Linked DNA regions of Drosophila melanogaster. Changing the gene in region 3 together with the main gene of any one other region gives a genetic interaction. Each region holds a gene or a part of one and is shown on either strand. Other genes may lie near its edges.

Region 1 (10,052 bases), on a different chromosome or scaffold from region 3:
CTGATGCAACACGGTAGCAACCACCGGCAACTGGAGCAAAACATTTCCAGTTCATTAGCTCAGCCACGCCCCTTTTGCCGCCCGTTTAGTTCGTGTAAGGACACACATTCGATTTTGTTGCTTTGCAAGACTTCTTGGCACGAGGCGAGGCAATACAAATTATGCAGACAACTGGAGACAATAAAGTCATTAACCTCTATTCCAACCAGGCTAAAAGAGTTCAAAGCGGCAACGACTTAATGTACATATATTACAAATGTTTCTACAAAATTAAGCAAATCATATTAATCTAATAATCTACTAAAAAATATATTTAGTTGATTTTTCATAGACATCAATTTATTCATATCAAATGTTTGTGCGTGACTATTTTGCTTATCACTTAATACATGCTGTGCTTTTGTTTTTAATTTTTTTTTCTTTTTCAGTTAGTTTACATAAATTCATTTCTTACAACAAGTGATTTCGTTTAGTTAGATTTCATAAATAATTCACAATATTTTTTTTTTTTGCTTAAGACGGTTTCCTATATAAATAATTTCAAAATAAATTAATCGCTTAAAATAAAGGCAACTACGACCTATTGGCACACTGGGAAAACTGTGCACTTTCCCGAGCGCAGCTATGCTACTTGGAATTTGAGTACAAATGCGAGTATAAGTCAAGGTCAAGGCTGTGTTGTGCGGGAAAGCTATTCGCCCAGGGAGTTGCCATTTTCTTCCTGACTTCTTCCTATACTTTTTACCGTTCCGATTCTCTTGATCTTACGACTACCAAATAAATGGGCATGCAAAAAAAAAAAGAAAAAAAGAATTCGAGGCAATGGGGTCGAACGACAGGAGCGGATCACCACTGGTTGGAGGGACGGCGCTCTGCGCCTGGGGCCGCACTTCCGGAGAATCGCGGCGACGAGGAGTTCTGCGAGGAGCTGCTGCTGGGCATTGTGCTGCAGGCCGCCTCGTTGGCCAGCAGCGTGTGAATGGCCGTCAGCAGCTTCTTGCGAGCTCCAAACGCCGCGATACCCAGCTCCATCAGGTTTTCCTCGGTCAGGGTGGTGAACACCTCCAGGTCGATTTCGTTTAGAACGAATATTTCTGAAAGGAGAAATAAAAACTGTAGTTTTCCCAGGTTGTAAATATAAAATAGTTTGATTTTAAATGCTATATGGATGTTGAACTTTATGTAACTTTATCTATGACTGTGAAAAAACGTTTGCGTTAAATAAAACACTCTCCAGTTCAAGCCAGACATATATGATAGCTTTATAAAAGACTTCTAGTACACAGTTGGTAAAAACGGACATGATCGGCGGAGCTACTCACTGATGTAGTGCTCCAGACCCAAACTGGTGAGCAGAGTCTGGATGTCCTTGTGCTTGGCTAGCTGCATCCGTCGGTTGACTGGAGTGGCGTCCAGGAGTCCGGTGGTGGCACTCAGTCCGTAAGGGGAACCCAGTCCTGGTGGCAGCCGCCACCCACTAGATGCTCCTCCACCAGCAGCCCCATTTTCCCCGTTCTCCAGCGGGGCAGGGGCGGGCGAGGTGCTGCTCAAGCCCATTCCCATCCAAGCGGTCGTGGGTGTTCGCAGCTCCCCTGCCACCGGGGTGCGCTCCATGGCTTTGTAGCCCAGGGCCCGTTTCATGTCGAAGTCAAAGGCACGGTGGCCGGAGTGCTTGTTTCCTCCAAGGTCATAGTGCAAACTCCGATAGCTCTCGGCACTGCCGGGCAGGAGGTGGGCTCCTCCGGAGTTACCTCCTCCACCGTTGGAATTACTCAGCCCCAGCAGCACTCCATCGCTAAGGCGTCGTCCCAGACGCGCCCCACCACCACCTCCGCCGCCAACGCCACCACCCTCACTGCCGTAAGTGGAATCTGGCGAATAATGCGCCCGATTTTGGCTTCCCGCGGTGGAGGATGAAGTGGACGACACGGTGCCCGGCAATTGGGCATACGGCGGATACGACTGCTCCAGGGAGGTGGTGCTGCTGCTAAAGCTCTGGTAACCACTGGTATTCTGACTGCAGCTGTTCCGTGGCGAAACAGTCGGCGGTTTGAGAGGCGGCGCCACCGCTCCAGGAACCTGCAGATAGTTGCCATTGTTGCTCTGCCCACCAGCCACCATGGAACGATTCTGAGCCTGTTGGAAGCTGTTGTGCAACTGCATATATTTTTGGGTGGGCGCACACACCCCAGTGGGCGTGGCCAAGCCATTGGCGTTCAACAACAGGTGATTGTTGTTGGCATAGGGCGTCAGTTGGCCAGCCAAGGAGGGCGGCAGCAGCGATGGAGTCTTCGGGCTGTCCACATACCCAGCCAGCAGAGCAGTTAACTGGGTGCGGTAGGCGAGATTAAGGTCTTTGTCCTTTGGCATGAAGTAGTAGTCGGGGATCTCGGGCTTCACGAATGGCGTGGCCAGGCGCAGGATCTCCTGGCGGGCCTCGTAGATTTTGTCTAAGGAGGGTGACAACAACGGATTAATACGGAAATTTAATTCAGCACTTGCTAAATATCTTAAATTGTATAATATATCTAAAAAGTAAGGAAAATATGGGATAAAAATCAAACAATAATGGAAAGTGCAATCGTATATTAATGCAGAATCAACGAAAATCATACACTTTACACATTGCTTTAGAGATCTTACCTATAAACTTCTCCACTCCCTTGACCACAATGGCCAGGGTGCTCTGCCGCTGTTTCTGGCGCAACGTGATGTAGACGCCGTACTTGGTGTTGAGGCTCATTATTTCGGATGCATCGTTGTGGTTGTCCGGAAAGTCAAAAATCAATGCTACGGGCAAATTGCCAAGCAATTGTTGTCGCGCCAAGTAGACGTCGTCGATGCGTCCGCTGATCGTGACCTGGGACTTCTTCAGGGGCTTCACGTTCATGTCGCTCAGATCGGGGAATATGATCTTGGTCTGGGTTCGCTCCATAATGCTCAGCAGATTCACGTTGTTCTTGCCCTTGACGATTTCGTGATGCTGCGGCGAGATCTCCATCTGGACATTCACCAGGATTTGGCTCTAAAAAGGAAAAAGGATTCGCTGATGAGCCTTATTTTGAGTTATCCTTCTCGAACCTACCGCAATACTCTCACAGGCGAAGTTGATCAGCAGCTGCGTGGCATCTCGGACCTGCGCCGATTCCTTCTCGGATCCCTTGACCAAAACCAGCGAGGTATGCAATTTTGGACGCGTGGAGAATATGACCTGAAAGGAGGAAAAATCTTTAAAATATATTCAATAATAATTAAGAGCAACGAAAAAACTGTTTACAAAAATCCTTGGTTGTAATTTAAGGTTGCCAAATTCGAAAATAACGTTTAAGTAACTTTATTACTTTAAATGCGTTCTAAATCACTTAAAAATATATAATAATAACACAACTGCAAAATTAGCCTAATGTAACATCAGTTGATAAAATTATAATGGAGCAATATATAATCACAACTCTCAAGGGTTGGGAAAAAAAAATTTGACATTTTCTATACCCCCTCTTAAATGTATGTATGAATGTATATTACAAAATCTTACCTAAATTAGTTAAACTAATCAAGCCATTATAGTCAAATGCAAATAATATTTGGTAACATGCCATGATTAATTTATAATTAATTTATAATCTTACACTTAGTTGACTCCGACATCTGGAACTCACCTGAACATTGAACTTGGTCTCGATCATCTTGATGTAGGGAGTCTCGTGGTCGGGCTGCGGCTTGTTGGGTCCCATTACGGGCATCTCGAAGGAGATGAGCAGCGGTGTGGAGAGCCGAACGAGAGCCCGGGCTCGCTCCACGCCCTCTAGGCTGCCGCACAGCGACACCTGGTTGGATTTCTCCGTGGGATTGGAGCGATTCGAGTCGGGGAAGTGGATATGGGTATGCGTGTCGTCCATTATGCGCTTGATGTTGTTGCCACCTCGTCCGATGATGTACGAGTGATCCGTGTAGCTGACGTCCATTTTCATGATCACTCGAGTGCCCTGTTCGGAGAAAAATGGGTAACAATTAAAACAGATAAGTTTGTATTATGCTTTGGCTCACTCACCCTGGAGTCAAGACTGCTAAGGATGCGCTCCTTTGCCCGCTGAACCTGATCCACCTTTCCCACAATTCGCACATGGGGATCTTTAAATTATGGGATTTATTTGAAAAATACTCTTGAACATTGAAAATATTTCAATATCCTACCCTTCTTGCTCTTGGCACCAATTTTGAGTCTGCAAGGCCAGCTCACATAAGTATCCGTAGTGTTCATGATCTAGTAAAAGAATATGTTTTGGATATATGGCGAATTCTTTTATATCAAGTCAAAAGAGTCGGTCCTAACAGTATCTTAAAACAAATTGGGTTATACACTGAAATTTTATAGATGCAAAGTCAGATTGCCAAACAAAGACATGAATCAATTAACTTAAAAATTTTGCTCAAAAACTAAATAACTTAATATACTATTGAATAGGAAACATATTATTATATGTTCAATATTTATAAGGCATGGCATTCTGTGTCTCAAAATGAGACAAAAGAAAGTGTGAAGCTAATAGGTGCCCAAAACTTAAAAATATGTACTCACGTCATGGAAAAAATATTCAGCTCCATTCATTCCCTCAATGGAGCTCTCCGCTATCAGAAAAAAGGCAATGTATAATAAGGAATCTATTATTTTTATATATAAAGGCATTACCTTTTATTAACTGTTCCAATTTCTGTCGATCCACCTTGAAACGTTCCGTGTGGAGATCGTCTGGGTTTTGAACGCCCAACTTCATGGCGATGGCGCGTATGTCACTCCAATCGCTATCCACGGAGGAGATCTCGCTCTGCGTCTCGCTGGGGGCTCCACTGCCCACCGAGGTGGTCGATGGAAGGGCGTGAAGACTGGACAGGGATCCAATGGATCCAGCTTCCACCTCCAAGCCCACCATTGGCGGTTTGGCAACATCTGCGGCCGACGGATACATCAGTTTATTGAAAGAGGCACAGGACAACATTGTGGAATTCGGATGATGATGATGATCACTGGATCAGTGGATCGGTCAGTGGATCGAGAAATTCGTCAGAGGTCAACAGGTGTGGGTACCAAAAAGTCGTTTAGTTTTAAAAACCAAGCAAAACGTCCGTCTCAGTTAAGGATTCTGGAAGCCGGTCCGTTGTTTGGTCAGCTTTGTTAGATGATTGCTGCTACTTAATGAAGTAAAGTGTATCTGAATTGATGGGATGAGCTGGTGATGAAAAATGAAAGGTCCGAAATGATGTAACAAGAAAATTGATGTTCGTAATAAGAAGAGAGTGGTTAGAAAGCGAGTCATAGGTAATTTAAAGTGAATATTGAAACACCATATAAAAATTAATTATTTTTATTTTGATAGTCGGTACCATAATTTAAGCAATGCACTTTCCAAAAAAAAAAACGATTTTACCTTTAAATTTAGTTCTCTTTTAATTTTTTGCGGTAAATAGTATTTAACTATCAACTGGAATAAGTACTTTTCACTAACATTAAAAAACTTTCTGTCTTAATTTGAAAATCTGTCTTATAAATTTGTGAGAATAATGCCGCGAAAAGGTGAAATAAAAATTCACTAATTAATATTATTATGGATAACAACATTATTATTGGTTCGCCGCCTGTCGAAAATTCCAAACTTTCTTGTGTGTTCTTTCACATAACCTCTCAAAATGGAGTGCTGCTGCCATGAGGTTCGTACTTTCCCCTTTCTCTCGAGATCCCGAAAACCGTAATTTCACCCGTGTCTTCACTTTCACTTCCTTGTGCCCAAAAACCAATGGCGTAACTTACCGCTGGGAGATCGCTCGGTGATCTCTACTTGAGATTAAATAGGCCCTGGAGGTCCAGACAGATGGCGTGCGAGAGGTCCTGGACGAATTGGATGGCCTCGACGAGGCAGACGTTCATAACAAAATTACGTATTTGTTGAAATCTCTCGACGAAAGGCATTTAAGGTGTGATCTGCGCAATAGAGATCTATATATCAGTATATAGCTGTGTGATTGCGACGGTCTGAGGGGCTTTGTCAGAGTATTGGAAAAATGCAAGTTGGGAAAAATCTCTCTGATTTCTGGGGGACCAGCACTTCTTCTAAGTACGGCTTGAAGGCAACTGAACGCGGCTCTCGATTTCGTCGATCGATTTTGCCCGCTGCTCGACGGCATTTACTTCTAACTGTTGAGCGGATGAATTCCGCAAATCGCTGGCAGGAGAAAATCTGGCGAATATTGTTGTTGCTGGGTCAATGAACCGCTCCCGGAATAAGAGATTCGATTCCATATGTCGAGAGCGAAAAACAAAACAAAGTCGCAGGGAGAGGTGGTGTTCCAGAACTCCAACATAGCTACAACAATTTGCAGAGCAAACGCTTAACAGCGGTTAGAATGTTGCAATGTTAAGTTTGAAATGTTGCCAACCGTTTTCATTCATTTTGGCGCCAGAAAAAACGGTAGAGAAATACGGCACAAAGAGAAACCGACTTTATTCCCGCCAAAAACACGCCACTTACCGTAATGTCAGAAATTCGGATCGTAGCACATACACATAGATATCGCAGGTTAATTTACTTAAACACAATCAATTGTAAAATCTTTTCGACAAATAACACGCTCTTTTCACGTAAAAAAATTGTATATCCGCTTGCTAATTAATTTTGGGCGCAATTAATTTTCCGTCAATTGGTCAAATTAAGGTTCGAATGGGAATTCGGCTGGCAGTCGGTGTATTTTTTCAATGTAACCAAAAAAAATAACCACTATCGAAGTGCGAGTAACAGAAAAACACCACGTGTGTGAAAAACACAAAGGAAAATGCAATGGAGTCTCATGAAAAGCGAAACTGAATTGTTGTCAGAAAATCGTGCACTGCGCGTTAGTTAGTTATATTTGAATATTTTTTAATATTTTATAGCTCTTTTGAATTAATATATTATTAATGGGTTGTGCGCGCCGTGCAGTTGTCGTCATTAAAGCGCGCTGACTATCAAACTAAGCTCGGCATGTGGGTCCCAGTCCCAACTGACCTTCAGATCCAAAAGCTCTGTGTTCTGTGGGGAGTGAAGCCAGTGCACGAACAACCTTAAAAAGCTGCCAGCCAACTGGATAACGGATATTCAGCAATAGCTTTATAACGGGAAACGGAGCTTTTCAAGCTTCTGAAACTCCCCAACCTGCACTTTACCAAAGTATTTATATACAGTGGGTTTTAAAAGTACGCTCACCCTTGTACAACCGGAAATCAAACTTTAAATAAACCAAACTTAAATTACGTAATTAAATGATGACATGTACGAGTAAAAGACGTCAGCAATAGTTATTGAATAGGGGTTACTTTATTTCCTTGCTGCTATTTTACATCACTATTTTGTTTTCTTCAATCTTATTATTACATTTATTCTGGCTTTACACATTTCGGGTTATTTATTGGGGATATGAATATATTATGTGCTATGCATTTGACCGCGTTTTTGATTCTCTTTATAGATCTAAGACTTATCGTTTTTCCTAGCAGCTGGAAACATTCACTGTTTTTTTATCCTACTTTCATATTTCTTGGTTAATACTTTTAATATTTATTCAGTAACATCAAAATGTTTGTCCCATTTTTATGTACATAAAACTAGCTTTTTACATTCTTATACATATGGTTATAGTTTATTATATATATTGGCCATAATTGAAACCATACTGAAATTAAAATTAAAATCCCCTGTCAATGTTTTAATGTAATGGGCATAAATTAGGGAAGACAACTTTCACAACACGATTTGATTACAAAAATCTGGCGGCATGCAGTTTATTATTATATAATTATCTATTTGTATTACTTGTTTTTGCATGTACACCAATTAATTTATATTTCATAAGTTTTATTATTACGTTTTATCATTTTATTTACACTTTAAATATATGTACTGAATTTATAAATTATTCAACATTTATTTTTTATTATTGTTATTTTTTTTTAATATACATTTTCATTTGTTTTTGGGCTACGATTACCCATTGCATACATTGAATTGTGTTTAAGGTAAAGGAACTATTTACCGCTGGATTTTTGTTGGCCAAAAATGTTCAAATAATTCTTTTGCTTTCATCGAGTTTTAATATTGCCGAAACAAGACTTGAAAATAAAGATTCTTTTTCGTTTTAATTTGCTCTATGTATTCGTTGTTTTCTACAAATAAACGCTTGCTATAATAATTAATTTTGCTTTTCATTTCCACAACCGTAAAAAGTTCCTTTCTGTACAGTGGATGTTACAAAATATTAATTTTGTGCTTGGTTTTAAGCTTTTATTTACACATTGACATAATGTCTTCTTCATTCTGAAAGGAGAAAACAAACAAAATAAAGTTATAGTCGATTCTCTCGACTATAAGATACCCGTTACTCAGATGAATACCTTATAATGTTACAAACGATTCCACTAATCTAGAACACTCTTTTACTCTAAAAGTAACGGGTATTAGTATTGACTTAAATTATATTCGGTTGTTTACAATTTTGAAGCTGTCAAAACCCCACTTTAAAATGCACTACGGTACCCGAAAGCTAAGCTCAAGTGCAGTCTAAAGTTCAGCTTGCTGTACACTGTGCACAATTCCTATAACTTTTTGATTTTTTATTTGAATATATTTAACGCTTGATATATAACATAAGAGTTTGAAGTACATAGTATTTATTCTAAGTACATTTTGATTTTCAGTGACTGAGCACACGCATTTTCTCACCCTGTACGTGCCCAGTGCCCAGGCAACTGTGCATTTTTGGTTTGACTTTCCGCATCTCTTAATGTTCTCTTCACTGAGAGCCATTTGTCGTGGCTTATTGTGATCTTTTATTTTTTACAGTAAAGATCTGTTCGAAAGTATCGGGAATAAAAAGTGAAAATACCTTGCTGTAGCATTCATATATGCTTATTGAGTTGATATTATTGTCTGAAAAGTGTGTCTAGCTGAAAATAAAATGTGTTACTATTTTTACAAAATAATAAATATGACAAATAGATATTTAATTTTAACAGTGAACAGAACAGTTTCACATAGTTAATGGAAGTAATGTGATTGATTGGTGATCTGTTTTACAGCACAATATATTTCCGTTTAATTCTGTTGCGAAAATGTGAGTAGGCCGAAAACAGATTTGAGAGATAGCGGCGTACAGGGTATCTTTTTATTTAATGGTTTCACCGTATGTTGTATTTTACCTAAGATTAATTCATTTCCTGTTATTATTCATCGGTTTAATATCTACTTGCTGACTTTGCTCTGCCAATAATTAAATATATACTGCACTTTCCCTGACCTTATGCGTTCAACACTTAAGAGCTACGACCAGATCGATTTATGCAGCTGGCTGATGCAATCAGTATGAGTACGAATGTATATTAATTATGCCCTTCAACAATTCGGGTGCGAAAGGAAAAGAGCCATATACTGGCTATTTTGCACGGTGGCGAGCACCTTAAGCTACTTTCGAAAATGGATTTCATCATCAATTCGGCATCAGCACGCGCTCCAACGCGACTGCATCATCGCATCCATCGCCTGCGATTTCTTTTGCCGCCTTTCTCGCCGCCGAGTCATCAATAATCGTTGATCCGGCCCACTGGCCACGCCCCTTACAGCATTGACGCCCCCCACAAGTGTCGCTGACAGCCGCTTAATGCTGCAACTCGCAACTCCTCCTGCAGCAGCAACATCTGCAGCATCAGCATCGGCAGTTGCTGTCGCTGTTGCCGTTGCATTTGCACTCGTGCTGCCAATATACGCATCACCACCGTCATCATCATCATCACGACTTCGAGTTGGCATCGCCATAGCCATTTGACAATTATAAAAGCATTTGACGCTAGATGCGCTAGATGTTGCCGCTTTTGAAGCTGTCACCTCGATGTTGCTGCTGCTGCCGCTGTTGCGTTGTTGCTGTTGCACCTTGCCAGTCGCCGGCTTAGTGTATTGACAGTTGATAATTTGATGGCCCAGCGGCCCTTGCTGCAGCAGGAAAAAAAGGAGAAGAGCAGCCGCTCCACCGCC
Region 2 (6,049 bases), on a different chromosome or scaffold from region 3:
GGTGATCTACCACGTGGAGCAAATGGCCAGCAATGATACCGTCGATGACAAGGTAGACATATACAAAATCCTGCTTGTGGCCTCCGAGATGCTTCCAGGAATAAGGAACACTTTGGATCGGGGCACACAACCAGAGAAGGGGTGTAAGTGGTCACAGATAACTTGCCAATGTAAATGCTGAGTATTTCCTTCTAAATCACTAGCTGACGCTCCCAATCCCATGGGTTTCTCTCCGCGCATCCACGACCGCAGCCAACCGCCCGCGTTTCCGCGTAGCATTAAGATCAGGGATCGTCCATCCAGTTATCAGTTTCTAGAGGAAATGATTTCGCGCTTCAAATACGCCTGCAAAGTCACCAAGTACAAGGATTACTATTCGGCGCTGGTAAGTGACTTTTTAAGTGACTTCTAAAATAAATTGTAATAACATCCTGGCTTTCCAGAACTTCTTTATCGAGTACAGCAAAAAGTCGGGCCAGTGCATCCTGTCCAGAAGCGTGCTGCAAACCCTGTTCAGCGCCAACATGCGTATGGCGCACGGAAAGCTTCCCATGAAGCAGTTCCTGCGCCACTCGGTTCAGGTCTTCAACTCGCCACCCGTATTGAATGCCAAGCATCCGGTGGCTGCCGATCCCAAGGTGCAGCAGCACCTGGAGAACTTCTTCCGTTACTGCATTAACATGAACACCTTCACGCAGTTCATTCGCATCTGCGGCTTCAATCGCGCCAGACAGCGGGATAAGCTGGCGCGTCTGATAGAGAACTTCGACACCATCCAAGTGGATGCAGCGCGATTGGACTCTATGATGAACCAACTGGCCAACGAACGAGCCATGGAGGGCAACGAGCCCATGGCCACCGCTCTGAAGCACAGCACCCACTTCTCCACATGGGTGCTGTACAACTGTTTCCGTGCGATGCTGATCTTCCTGATGTCCGGCTTTGAGCTGGAACTATATGCTGTGCATGAGTTCCTCTACATCTACTGGTATCCATACGAGTTCCTCATTGGCTTCCTGGTCTCCGCGCTGACGCGCACGGAGAACATCCTCCTGGCCCAGGAGGAGTACGCCGAGCACCAAAGTAAGACCCAGTCGGGCGGCAGCGGAGCGGCTAAAAACCGCAAGGCGGCCAAGCCGAAAAAGAACAAAAAGACTCAAAGGCCGTACCGCGCCGAGATCGTCTTCTACCACGCGCTACTCAGCCTCTGCGGCGGAATGTATAAAGCAATGGGCGCCCTGACCAAAGACGGACGCGTGCGACTGCCGCTGTCCAAGTTCGACAACGAGGAGATCCGCTACAACCGACGCTTCCTGCCCTTCGCCACACTCACCAGTCCTCCGCCAGTTTCGTACGCAGAGTTCAAAAACGTCCGGGAGCACATGATGCGACATAGCGTCGAGGATCTATATACCTATGCGGCCAAGCACTTTGACCAGGCCCGCAATGTTCTCGAAAGCATTCAAAACCCAGATCAGGAGGTAAGTCAATGGTAGTTCTGAATTGGTTTTCCTGGATTAAAATGCGTTTCGTTTAATTTCAGATGCTGGACCTCCTGCAAATCGCACGGACTAACTTTGTGGTGATGAATGTGCTGGCTCGCGGTCACCAGAAGGAAGTCAAGCGGCAGCCAGAGTTCGACTTCTCCAAACACAGCTACTTCCCCATCATCAAGCTGAAGTAAATGTTCACGTGTTTCGTAATTGACAAGAATAAAATTTAAATGTACGCATTTTAATGTCAACTCTGATCCTCCGCCACAATGTCCTGCTTGATGAGAAGCTCCTCCACGTAGCCGTCGATGGGGCAGCTTTTGGCGCAAGTGTAGACGGCCAGGACGCCCCAGTCGAGGTTTTCGTCCTCCAGAAGAGTCAGCGCTTGCGGCATAATCTGAAATTCGAACTGACGCTCTCCTCCGCAAGCAATGCAATTGGGCAGCTTGTTAAGTTGGTCCTCCACCGTTTTGACGGTATTCGTGATCCAGAGGGGCTGGCCTCCACGTTTGTAGCGCACGATCTGATCGGGTTCGGCTGCTGTTTGCTTTTTGAACTGACGAAAGGTCTTGTCATCGGCGGCCGCCGAGTTTCCGAAGTACTTGTCCATCTCCGCCTCGGAAACATTGCTCAAGTCGCCCGTCTTCCCGCTGGACTCCAGCTCCTGGAACTCCGCCAAGCGAGCCTCATCGTCCTTGTCCTCCTCGCCAGACTCCACGGGGTTGCTGTCCATTACAATCTCAAATTCTGGGAAAACGATTTGTGTTAAGGGCTTCTCAGTGGCTACTTCTGGTGCTCCGCAGTTTGGCTTGTGTTGTGGCCAGTGGGCCCTTTGATGCTCTGGTGAGCAGTAGTGGATTGCCTTGCATTTGCTGCAGGCGTGAGGAGCATGGCAACCGCAGGCGGCGCATAGTTTCTTTAGGCAGGGAACGGCGGGCTAAGAAAACATATTATGATGAGTATGTTCTGAAAATATGGCTGCTGTTCCTACCAGGGGTTGACCCACGTCGCTCGGCTCCTCCTCCGAAAAGAACTTATTTTTTCGCGGCAACTGTGACCTGAGGACTGTGAAATTGCTGGAAAGATGGGTAAGATTAGGTTGCAAGTTGGTTTTCAGAGCTAGAAGGGATTACCTTGCATTTTGGGCCTCCTGGCAGTCGGAATTCCGGCACAGGAACACATAGATGGACCGATGAAAGTTGTACTCGTCTTCGAAGGGAGCGTATAGCTGAGCCAGGAAGGATTTGGGTGCCCTGCACTTGCTGCACTGCAGCTGCGACGTGGGCGGCAAGGCCTCCAGTTCCAGCCATGCGGGCTGGCCTCCCAGCTTGCTGGGAAAGTAGCGGTTGCTCAGCCAGGCGCCATTGTCGCTCTTTTCCGCAAATCCCAAGTCAATCTCCATTTCTTTCAATCTCCGAAACGAAACTCGTGTTCAGTGTGACCGCAGCGGGAGCGCCAGAAAATACCTCTACAAATTCCGAAATAACGTTGTATAATAACTGATATTTTCGGGGAATCACACTTTTTGGGTGTTATAATTTAAAATTTAAATTAATTACATTCGTTTAATTTGTTGATTTCGGCAGTTCAATAAAATAAAATATTCTTTTCTTCATTGAATATTTGCGATTACTCTTATAAACATAAGGGGGAAACATAAGATTTTAATTTAATGACATTAATCTGGAAGAATAACAAATCTCATTATCCTGAGCCCTTAAAAATGGCAAGCGGTTCAAAATTATAGAGCGAGGATTAATCAGATAAGGCCCCTCTTCTACGCCACTGATAATAAAGCTTGCATGCCATGGATTTGGTATTTTCCGCGAGTTCCTCCATGGCGATTTCCCAGATTTTGGCCACTTCAGTATGCGGTTATTTCTCACGGTTAAAAGTTCTGCTCTCCGAGTTGATTAAACTGGCTAAAGTGATATTTTATTTACTGTTGTGATAAACGCGTGTGAAAAACAAAGACTTTCCATTGCCCGCGGACACAAACGATCACGAACCGAAGAGTGAACCGCTCAGAAACGGGGGGAAAACCAGTTTTCCCACGATTTGATGTGATTGTGAAAGCGCAACGAGATTTGTCAACGCAAACAAGCAAGAAGAAGAGCCCGTGGATAGCGTAATATTTGTTAATAATAACGGCTGCAAAAACAACAACATTGCGGAAGCAGAATCTCCGACTTGTCGCGTTTCCGTCGCAGCAGCGCTAAAAATAAACCCACCCACGCACCGCCCCCTCTCGAATCGCCAACCACCCACTCCCGCCCACCATCCACCTACCACCACCTTCCGCCCACACCCACGCACGAATTTGGAGAGGTGAACTTGTGTTGACTTTTCCAGCGCGCGGACTTTTCCGAAGAAAAATGCAAAAATGAGAGCCGAGCCACCAGCGGACCACTGGGAATTTGCGTAAGTCCAAGGCGGATGCTTCCTGGTTTCGAATTACAGGGTATCACGTGCGCTGCTGCGAGCTAGTGAACAAGAAGGCACCAGATGTTTGATGGAGTGCACATAGAGAAAAGTTTGTGTAGGAACTATTAGGTGTCCGGTACAGGGTATCTCCGCTTCGATGCCCCTGGCAGTGGCTCGCTTTCTGGCTGCCAAAGAACGAGCCGGGTGAGCTTTTATTTGCTAAATTTAGTGCCGCATTGCTGAAAATAAGAATGGGAGCACCCTGCCATCGGTTGCCGGTAGGCAGACTCATATATATGTATATGTATATGCATAATCGCCCCTGACGGCCAGTGTGTGGTTCGGTGGATCTTTGTCCAGGGCACATGGCCCGAAACTGTTGCATGGCCCATCCTCGTCCTGGCCAATCGATGCCTTCGATGCCGACTTCGACTTGGAGTGCTGCCTGAATCAATAAACGCCTCAAATCCCTGCCATATTGCGTCCATTGTAATGTCAGCACATAAATTCTCTGCCCATCGAGGGGCATTTTCACTCGGCTGCAGGCATTCGGTAGTGGTATGTACGCTATGTGTCCTGGCCAGGCAATAAATATTGAAAATTCAATTAGCAGACGGACGGGCAGCCGAAATGCTATGAATTTATCACCACCTGAGTGCGAATGTGCCTGTGGTACTCATAGTAAATAAGTAACTTCATTGCCATTCGGCCCACTCCACTTGCTCCACCTGCATGCTGGCTATTGATTTTAATCCGCCCTGCAATCATCTTGCTTCATTTGGCCGCTGAATTTATGGGTTCCCACGAAAGCTCCACTTTCTTCGGCCCGCTTTCCCATTTCCCCCACTTCACATTCCCATTCCCACCAACAATGTGTGCTGTTTCGGCGCTGGAAAACATTAATTAAAATTCACTGGACTGGGAAAGCTATCAGTTGCATGCATATTCAATTGATTCATTATTACAGGACATCATACATGTAATGCTCAGCTCATTAATCGGTTGACAGTGCGTTCCTTCGACTGACTGTTTAAATTCCCATTTCAATATTGTTGTTAACTAGTAGTATGTATGTACGTACATATGTACATATGCTTATGTACGACTTGAACCCAAGCAACTAAATAGGAAATTGTCAGTATGTGTAGCGTCGAAATTATTGCATAAGTAAATAAATTATAGAGGATGAGAAGGGAAGTCAGTTTATGTGGCTTGCATAAGTTTGTTTTGATATATTTGATAATTATACGCTTATCACTGCCAATGTTGTTCTCTCCGCACACCGCGTTTATTCGACTCCTCTTGTCACCACTTCGCCGTTTGCTCAGTTGCACTACACTTGTTTATCCACGCCCGCCTTGCTGCTCATTCGCATTCTGATTGGAGCGCCGAACGCCAAGTGAGTCACTCCCCAAGGTTGCTCAGCGTAGTGCCTCTCCGGTGTTCTCAGTATCGAATGCCAAAGGCCAATGGACGATCTCTGGCTCCACGATAGCCGATATCAATATCGAGTTAGCCAGTCAAGTGGCTCGGTTCTCCGGCTGGCGAGGGGGGAGATAAGGGCAAGCGATGCAATCGCGAGGCTTCTGGGTTCCTATCGAGCACTTGTGGGCTTTCCTTCGGGTCAGCGAGCAGATGATACCCAGTTGGGAGTAGTATTTGCCAGGTAAAGCTCATAGATAGTAAAGGGCTGGAGCTTGCTTTCCGGTTATCTATTATCATCACAACAAGTGAGCTCCATTATTGCGCTCACTTTATTTACTCTACTTATTTTCGCGTATATTAGGTAAGCCTGGAAATTGTACATGATTAGCATTTCTGACCTTATGACTCACCGAAGCAAAGCTACGAGCAGCCCCACATTTAGTTGATTTCTATACAATTCGCTATCTTTTATTTCAAAAATAAACCTTAGATTAGATACGCCTTTGCAAATAAACAAAGTATGCTGCAGAGTCTTCCTGGATCTCCACCTAGCAATCATAATAAAGGGCTTCCAGTTGGTTTGAAACCCCATAGATGGACTCTACTTAGTGTTTGGTCATGGTGATAGTTTTAGCTTTGTAATTTCTATTAACAAAAAAAAATTTGTATTTATTGTAAACGAAATCCCCTGAAACAGCTTTTCTCCC
Region 3 (8,902 bases):
CCTGGCCCTTCCTGCGCCCGGTGACCGCGGCCGAAGTTCCGGACTACTACGATCACATTAAATATCCCATGGACCTGAAGACCATGGGCGAGCGCCTGAAGAAGGGTTACTACCAAACGCGCCGCCTGTTCATGGCGGACATGGCGCGCATTTTCTCCAACTGTCGGTTCTACAATTCGCCCGACACCGAGTATTATCGGTGTGCCAACTCCCTGGAGCGCTACTTCCAGACCAAGATGCGCGAGCTGGGGCTGTGGGACAAATGATGCAGTGATTCCGAGGAGCCCTGCATAAGGCCGAACATTTAATCGAACTAAATTATTATATTAATTCTATTTATTTTTAGAATTCTCCCCAGCTAAAGAAAAACCCATATAGTTAGTTTGTCGTTATAGATACTTAGGTTAAGCTCAGTGTGTCCGTCTTGTTCACAGACGCGTTGTGTCTTTGGGAAGAATAAATCAGATCTATCGCCTACTCATTAACCACGAATCCACCCACTCTCCCTTCATCCAGTGGACAAAACCAATGCTGGTCAAATGATGTGTAACCACTACGTTTTTGTCTTAACTCTTTATTTCACTTTTGATTTCCTACATTCATTGTTTCGCATGCTTTTAAAGTTAGAGTTCTTCTCATTTGTTTTTATTTTGGTTTAGTAAATAATTTCAGTTATAAAATTATATCTTAGGGGCGGGAGTTTAATCGAATCTCTAGGACATTGTACAAAGGCTCATGCATACATAAATACGTGGCTCCACATCTGCGTTTCATCCTTTCCAAGGCTGCACCGGAAATGGCAAAGGATATCGTGGATATGCCGATGGTACAATGAAAATGTTAACCGTAGTTGCTTACTGCTTGAATTCAATTATCCTTTATTACATGGTATATTTAGTTTTTAATTTCCATACGTGGTAGTCTTTACAATTTAGCCATTACTTGCGAAACGTGCTTTCTTTTCAGTGTTCAACTCGATAATTGCGTATTTATATACAAACATACATATGTGGAGCTAATCAGAGTGAGCATATATGGAGATATACATATTACATACAATTAGATACATAATTTATGATTACATAATATTGAAATGTTTGTGGTGACTCCGCCAGCTCATCCTCATCCTCATCCCTCTTCTCTCTGCCAGCGTGTTAACTGGCCAAACTGGACTGGGCTTGTGCTGAATACAAATATATATCTGGATACAAGGATAACAAACAAATATCTAAAGGGATTCAGCTGGAGATACGCGTACTTTACTCGCTTTTGAAGGCCTCGATTTCAAGCGCAGCAGCCAGTGAATCACACAATCAATCTTAACATTTACATTGAGAACATCATCACCATAGGTATCGTATCTTTTCAAATCGATTCGAATCGTAAGTATAATTTCCCTTGCCCAACCGAGATCAGAGAAAATAAACTGTACGAAAACCGAAAATTTGGGCTTTTCTTTTTGGACAAATTTGCTAATGATTGGTTGTTTTCTTTTTTTTTTTTTGTTGGGGTTTTTTCGTTTAACATTTTCATTCGGGAGACTTCATTCATTCATTGCAGCTGAGCTGGATTGACTTTTTACAATTGTGCTTTTGATAGAAGCGCGTAGCTGCCGATTTTATTTTCTTTTTTTCATGTTTAAAATGCTCTTAAATAATAGTTGTTTTAAATGCTAGTAAAACGGGTCGAGCGTTTGTCGATGTTTTACGCCCACAAGAAATACAATATTACAATCGATTTGTTACTCTTTCATTCAAATAAAAACGTATTAAGTTAGCTTTTATTTTAGATTTGGGAATTCCATGGATTTAATTGGTTTACTCCATTAATTTCATTATTGTTGTTATCGGCTCCTCCGCCAAATCTCCTTGCTCCTCTCCTTGCTAAATGGTTGCTTTCGTTTTGTTTTGTTTTTTGTAGCTTTTCATACTTATGCTTAACTATGTTCTTACTAAATATATGTATGTATGCTGGCGTGCCATTATCTGCTCCTTCTTATCAATGCCGTGCTTTTTGCTCAGCGCAAGGCGTTGGAACCAGCCATTTACACAAAGCCTAACACATGGCCGGTTCGGTTCGGTTCGGTTCGGTTCACATTCACATTCACATTCGCGCTAGTCGCTAATCATTAATCGAATCGTAGAGCGCTTATCATCGCCAAGCACACGGTGGTGGTGGGCGGGCAGCAGCGGAGTGCGCCCCAGGACGTCGTGAGAATTGTAACACTAATTTAATTATACAAATATATTATGCCGCTGGATCCATAACTCGAAATTCCTGATAATAAGAGCCTGTGTGTCGTCGATCGTTCGGGTCACTTGATTGGTTTGCTTCGAATAATTAGCTTTGCAATGAATAGGATATTTACTTTACGCTCTTCTCAATTCGCATCTATCAATTTGTGGTTTGTTGGTTGTGGTTGGTGTATATTTAAAGTGGCTTTCCACTGGCCGGGCGGCACTATTGTGCTGCAAAAGTAAACAGACACACATGTAAACAAACATGTTGCAAATGAAGTGCTTAGATGTAATTGCTACTCACAAACTGCCGCCACCTGTTGCGTCTGCTCTGGCAAGAGGGACGTCGACTTTGTCGTCGCGGTTGTGGCATTTGGTGCACTGGAGTCCGTGGCATTGGATCCGTGGCCAGCAGCATTGTTGGCCGCCTTCAGCGCAGCAGCCGTGTTGCCATTGGTGATGTTTGGCATTCCGTTTCCGCCACGACCGCCGCCGTTGTTGCGATTGTTGCTCCTGTTTCGGAAGTTTCCGCCGCCGCCACCCATGCGATAATTGTTCCTGTTGTAGCCTGGCGCTCCTCCATATCCCGAGTTAATGCCGCCGTTGCCATTATTGTTGTAGTATTGGTTGCGTCCGCGGTAACTGCTTGGAATACATTCAGTTGATGAGCCACACTGCATTTGCTTGATTGCTTCGATTGGACTTACCTGCCACGTCGTGTGGAGGACACTCCGAAGGTCTCCGTGTTCAACTTGCGCTCCTGGCGCCAATCGTTCTTCTTGTTCTTGCTGCGATCCTGGGCAGCCTCGCACGAGATGTTGTCGAAGAACGATTTGGTCTTGTCGTAGCACACAGCAACATCATCCTCCTCAGGCTCGTGCTCTCCAGCGCCGGTCTCGTTGCCAGAATCATCCTTCTTGTCGGTCTCGCCATTCAGCTGCAAGCAGATGATGCAAATAGTGAGTAACTCTTAAAACGATCGTATAGAAAATGTTACTTAAACTGAACTTAAACAAGCAATAAATAAAGAAGAAGATTTACCTTATTTGTTAATAAACTGCTCTTATTCATTTAGAACTAATTTGTAGTGTATAAAAATAAAAAGTGTATGTGGACTTACTGTGTGAACGCCTTCAACCTTCTCACCCACCTGCTCATTGGTTGCAGTTGCAGTGGCGGCCGTTGCATTGGTGGCTGGCTTGGGTGCACCATCCTCGGCCACCTTGAGCTTGGCCAGTTGGGAGCGCAGTTCCTCGAACTTGTTGTTTGCCTGCTCGAAATCGAAGTCGCCCTCGAACTTGATCTTGTTCCGCGGCTTGTTCTGATTATTGGCCGACTGCGGACGATAGCCCTGCAAAATGTGAAAGCCAGGGTTTAATAAACCATCTATAGCAGTGTGAGTCACCAGCAGGTGTACCTGATTGGGTCGCATGGGGCCGCGGGATCCCATGCCGCGGTTGCGCATGTTCATCATGTTGTTCGAGTTCTGGTTGCCGCGATGCATGTTCCAGGCCGGGTTGTTTCCACCTCCGTTTCCACCGCCGCCGCCGCTGCCGCCGTTTCCTCCTCGCTGCTGCTGTTGCATTCCGTTGCCGCCGCCGCGATTGCGCTGATTATTATTATTGTTGTTGTAGTTGTTGCTATAGTTGTTGTCCATTTGACGTCCGGAGTCCCGACGATCCCGCTGCTGGTTATAGAAGTCCGTTCCACTGCCGCCGCCTCGTTGCTGCTGCTGCTGCATATTGTTGTGGCTGGGTCCGCCACGTTGCTGATGCTGCTGATTCTGTTGCTGCTGGTGGTTCTGGCGCTTATGTCCTGCATCGCGTCCGTTGCCACCCTGGCCAGCGTTCTGTTGCTGGTGCAGCTGCTGCTGCTGAGTCAGCTCCGCCGTGGGACTCACAATCAGGCTAATGGGCGTCGTCGATCGCGAGGCACCGGCCAGCATGTCTAGAACGGAAACTGTACACATATAGAGGACGCAACGAGGACGAAAGTAAAGGAGAGAGTAATGCGTGTGGGCACCAAAAACATTAGTCCAAACAAATACTTGTGTCAAATACTTTGTATCAAAAGGTGACATTAACTATTTTAAAGGGCTGAGTAAAAGAGCGTAATTTTTAAGCATTTAAATCGACATGCTCGCTTATCGGATAAAGCCACAAAATGAACCATATCTTAAACTATTCCCGGAATTTGCGTTTTTGAAAATAGCAATCGCTTTTTAGCAGGAAACGAATTTTGATTTAAGATCACAAATGAGAAGTTCTACTTGTGTGCAATGTAATTTTAGTAATGTGTGGTCTACACCAACTCACTTGGCTGTTTCTGCTGCTGGGGCTTCGGTTGCTGCTGATTGCCACCGATGTGCATGAAGGGTCCGCTGCCCGGAGCACCGGAACCGGGTGCAAGCGATCCGCCCGCATTGCCCACCATGTTGGCCAGATTGGGACCGCCGAGGTTGCCGAACGGATTGCCATTGCCGTAGCCGGGTCCGCCGCCGCCAGGAGCTCCTGCTCCACCAGCACCACCACTGCCTCCACCGCTTGGCATTTGGGGCGGTTGCTGCGACGGCACCTGTTGCTGCTGCGGCGGACCGCTCATCCCGCTGGGCATGGGGAAGTGCTGCGGCATCTGGGGCGGTCCGTTCTGGAGCTGCGCCTGCATGATCGCCGGGTCATTGTGGTGCGGCAGCGTGTGGTTGTTGACAACGCGAATGTCCTTGATGTCCGAGCCACGGAATAGGATGTAGTCGTAGATCTGCGATTGCGGCGCTATCTGGAACTGGGTGTCCCGATCTTCTGTACCGAAGGATCGCACTGAAAAAGAAAAGAGGGTTAAAATGAATTGAGTTATAATATTAAATCGTATAAAGAGTACAATAGTGAACATTTTTTCCGTAAAGTTTTCTTATCCCAGCCGCCATTTTTATTCCATTGCTTTAAGAAAGATCTTTCACAAAACTAAACTTTTAAATTTTTAAATTTTTCCATTGCAAATAAGCTACCTTTTTTGCTTAACCGGTATTCTAAGTCGGTTTTTAAAAGTGCTCCATCTAATAAGTGGAACTTTCCGAGCCCACATCTTTCAAGTTTATATTCCAATTGTTTTAAAATGAATGCACCGCATTATATAATGCAATTGTTCAAAAGACGAATTACTTGGATTGCGGCAAACTTGTAAACCCATTAAGGTTAGGCCGCGCTTCCAATTTAACCTCAACTGGGGAACGCATGTTTTGCCGGTATTTCTCCGCTCTCCGTTCCTCCTTTTCGACTTCCAGGGCACTGACATCCGTAACGGGAGCCCTTGGATCCCGTTATCTGGCGCCAAATCGAAATTGTATTTGCAAATAAACAAATTGCATTGGGGCCTTGCTGGTGCTCGTTACTTTGTGCGCGGGTGTATGTGTGCCAAGTAAATTGCAAAAGCAACACTGTACAACAACAACCAAAGACAAAAACAGGCCAAAGCCAACATGACAAACAAAAAGCATAAGTGGGAGAGCGAGAGACGGCTGTCGAAATGGGTAATGGAGAGAGCGGTGGCGGCAATTGCACTCACCGTCTCCACGAGTATGAAATTACTGTAAAAACTAACAAAAAGAAACGAACCAAAAGGAAAGAAAGAGTAGAGCCACCAACACAAGAGAAATGGACAGAATCCATTTTCTTTTGCGATGAACCGTTTTTTTACACGATTTTTTTTTTCTTTTTTTTTGGCGCAGATTACGGCACCCACATATGTATATCCCGTATATGTACATATATGGGCGACGTGGGCGATTTTCGTATTAAATACTTACCACTCGAGAGCGCAATGGTGCACTCCTGCGGATCCACCGTGTACAGGCGGCCCTCGTATCGAATGTCCGCCTTGGAAATGAGGCTGATTTTGGAGCCCAACTCCGGTAATCCCCCGCTCATCTTGAACTACTTCGATGCTTCACTGCGCACTCACGCCGAAAATACAAACTATTATTAAATGTTTCTGCCAACAGGCACACGAATTTCTCTGTCAAAAGCAAACAATTATAGCGAGCGCGACGACAACGATTTCTCGACGGTTTCAGTCTCTGCTCTTTTACTTTTTTTCCGTCTTTTTTTCACACGCAATTGCGTTCCAGTTCCAGGGCGAATTTGCGGCCAATCGCCTTCTAGCCGCGTTTGCTTTATCAAGCTGTGTTTTTGCACAAGTGCGACAAGCGCTTTTCCAATGTCTGTGATGCTGCACACACGGCTCCAAATGTGAAAATTGCAATTTTCGATGCACAAATCTTTGCTCCGTCCGTCTGCGAAAACCTACCCGTCGAAAATGAACGATGCATACGAGCGAGAGCCTCGACGGTGTTGGAAAGCGCGGTTGTATAGCAGCGGCGGCGGCAGCGAAATAATAATAATAACTGTTTATGTGCAAAACTGTGCAAAATATAAAAGGGGACGCTTCAAAAGGTTGCCAAAAGTAAATAAGACTATTTCATTATTTATCCGTTCTCTGTTTGCATTAAAATTCAAATTTTATCCTCTTTCACAGGGCAGCCCTACTTGCAACCCTAAATACAACTCTGGAAAGTGAGCACGCATCCCTGGCTCTTCGGCTTCCCTCGGCGCATTTTTTTCAAAGCGAAACGGCAGAAAAATGCTCTGGCATTTTACGGATTTCTAATTGTATTATTTATGTGAGAAAATTGCAAATAAAAGTGAGTCCATCATGCCACCCAAGATGGAGCCGATTAGCGTGCGCACCGCGCGTCTGAACAACCTGATTCTGGGCAAAGGAGCTGGCGTCTGTGCGAAGCCCGCTGGAAGCGCCTCCGGATCAGGTATTCCCGCCTCCACCAGGAGAAGCATTGTACCCGTGAGCACCACTAGCGCCGCCGTGGCCGAGGCCATCTGCCGCGAGGGACTCCTGGACGCCTTCTGTCTGCTGTACAACGAGTGCGACAAGGATACGCTGAAGAAGCGCGATCGCAACATCGCCGAGTTTGTCAACAAATGTGAGTCAACTGCATTGGTCAGCAGGGTTTTCGGATGGAGTATCTACCATTCTATAGAAATGGAACTCAGAAGCCACATTTTTACTTCCTCGGGTCAGAGAATCTACTTTTGCTAATCATATTCCATTATTAAAGCCCACAAAATTATTGGGAGTAGAATCTCTTATAGATTTACCTGTATGTTCCGGTTTCCCTCCTTGAAAATAGAGCTCATGCCTAGTTACCCATTATATTACTATCTAATTTCCTACTCCAGTTCGTCCCATCATAGAGGAGACCCGCAAACTCAGGGTCAACGCAGATGACTTCCTCATCAAGACGCTTATTGGCCAAGGATACTTTGGCAACGTTCACCTGGTGGTGGAGCGGCAAACCAACGACATATACGCCATGAAGAAGATCAAAAAGTCGGTGGTGACGACGTCACAAGTCAAGGAGGAGCGCGATATCATGTCCATTCGCAACTCTGAATGGCTAATCAATCTGCAGTATGCCTTTCAGGTTTGTTATTTCCACATTTTCGCATATTTCAGTACTTGAATTAACTTATCACTTAGGATAACGACAATCTGTACCTGGTCATGGAGTACATGCCCGGCGGAGACCTTCTCAGCTTGATGTCACGCCACGGCCCTTTCGATGAGGACTTGGCTCGTTTCTATCTGGCCGAGCTCACAGTGGCCCTGCACACATTGCACGAGATGGGCTATGTGCATCGGGATATAAAGCCTGAAAATATACTGATTGATCGTTTTGGCCATATTAAACTGGCTGATTTCGGTAATGCCGCTGCCTTGGATCGCGATGGCCATGTGCTGAGTTTGTCGCCGGTGGGAACACCGGATTACATAGCTCCAGAGCTGCTGCAAACCATATCCACCTACAAGCTGTCCAAGTCGATGCACGATGTGAGTAGAATTGTACGATCGCAGAGTTTGGTTTGGAAAGTTCATAGCTAAAACAAGAACTCATTTTGTAGGTCAGCTGCGATTATTGGTCCATGGGCATTATAGGATATGAGTTAATATGCGAGACAACACCTTTTCACGAGGACAATGTACACGAGACATACTCCAAGATTCTCTCCCATTGCGAGGAGAGTCACCTTAAAGAGCTCATCAGCTTTCCCGCCGACTTGAAGGTGTCTGTTAACTATAGAAATCTTATTGAGTCACTGGTCACAAATCCTTCGAAGCGATTGTCCTATGAGCGCATTAAGAATCACCCCTTCTTTAGCGAAATTCCGTGGGGTTCCATTCGCTCGCAGGTTCCACCGATTATACCAACTGTTAGGTCTGACGATGATACCTCCAATTTCGAGGACGGAATTCGTCATAAGACTCGCAGAGAACAGGGAGTTGCTAAAAAGTCCCTTACGACTAACATGAAATCGAATGATTTCAGTGGCAAGGATCTGCCATTCATTGGGTACAGTTTTGTGCACATGGAAAAGTCGGCAATTTCCGCTACCACCGATGAAAAGCTTCAGGAGAAGCTAAAGGAACTGCTGCAGAAACTGAAGACTAGAGAGAACGAGATTTCCATGCTGAAACAAGATCTTCTGCGGGCTCAGCAATCGCTGAGGAAGACCGATAACAAATCTCAGGTGGTAGCCGATGCTAAAATGGAAATTAAGAAGCTGCAACAGATTATCAAGGAGAAAACAATGGAG

What was found. A genetic interaction does not mean that the proteins touch.
Region 1: of tral (region 3) and BicC, changing one enhances a phenotype caused by changing the other (phenotypic enhancement), as found in Drosophila melanogaster (one study listed by BioGRID).
Region 2: of tral (region 3) and Zfrp8, changing one suppresses a phenotype caused by changing the other (phenotypic suppression), as found in Drosophila melanogaster (one study listed by BioGRID).

Annotation. Positions count from the first base shown.
Region 1 is NT_033779.5:16,039,000-16,049,051, reverse strand, and holds BicC (bicaudal C), read right to left. Parts: upstream 7,006-10,052; 5' UTR 6,525-7,005; intron 6,136-6,524; exon of another isoform or gene 5,978-6,135; 5' UTR 5,966-5,977; coding exon of another isoform or gene 5,831-5,965; 5' UTR 5,807-5,830; intron 5,229-5,806; 5' UTR 4,998-5,228; coding exon 4,691-4,997; intron 4,630-4,690; coding exon 4,580-4,629; intron 4,501-4,579; exon of another isoform or gene 4,265-4,500; coding exon 4,195-4,264; intron 4,132-4,194; coding exon 4,052-4,131; intron 3,987-4,051; coding exon 3,660-3,986; intron 3,212-3,659; coding exon 3,086-3,211; intron 3,026-3,085; coding exon 2,644-3,025; intron 2,451-2,643; coding exon 1,323-2,450; intron 1,095-1,322; coding exon 847-1,094; 3' UTR 426-846; downstream 1-425. Other genes in the region: CG45084 (uncharacterized protein), read right to left, coding at 5,831-5,965; beat-Ic (beaten path Ic), read right to left, coding at 9,522-10,052. UniProt on the Drosophila melanogaster protein: RNA-binding protein that is involved in oogenesis. Required for correct targeting of the migrating anterior follicle cells and the establishment of anterior-posterior polarity in the oocyte. May act as translational repressor of oskar during oogenesis.
Region 2 is NT_033778.4:24,130,862-24,136,910, reverse strand, and holds Zfrp8 (zinc finger protein RP-8), read right to left. Parts: upstream 2,923-6,049; 5' UTR 2,896-2,922; coding exon 2,627-2,895; intron 2,570-2,626; coding exon 2,485-2,569; intron 2,431-2,484; coding exon 1,741-2,430; 3' UTR 1,685-1,740; coding exon of another isoform or gene 1,544-1,684; 3' UTR 1,506-1,543; downstream 1-1,505. Other genes in the region: Naa35 (N(alpha)-acetyltransferase 35), read left to right, coding at 1-143, 204-385, 444-1,481, 1,544-1,684.
Region 3 is NT_037436.4:12,512,710-12,521,611, reverse strand, and holds tral (trailer hitch), read right to left. Parts: upstream 6,554-8,902; 5' UTR 6,161-6,553; coding exon 6,040-6,160; intron 5,054-6,039; coding exon 4,553-5,053; intron 4,197-4,552; coding exon 3,655-4,196; intron 3,589-3,654; coding exon 3,358-3,588; intron 3,175-3,357; coding exon 2,945-3,174; intron 2,883-2,944; coding exon 2,542-2,882; intron 2,469-2,541; coding exon 2,461-2,468; 3' UTR 1,917-2,460; downstream 1-1,916. Other genes in the region: Gcn5 acetyltransferase, read left to right, coding at 1-266; sti (sticky), read left to right, coding at 6,945-7,230, 7,487-7,731, 7,788-8,150, 8,210-8,902.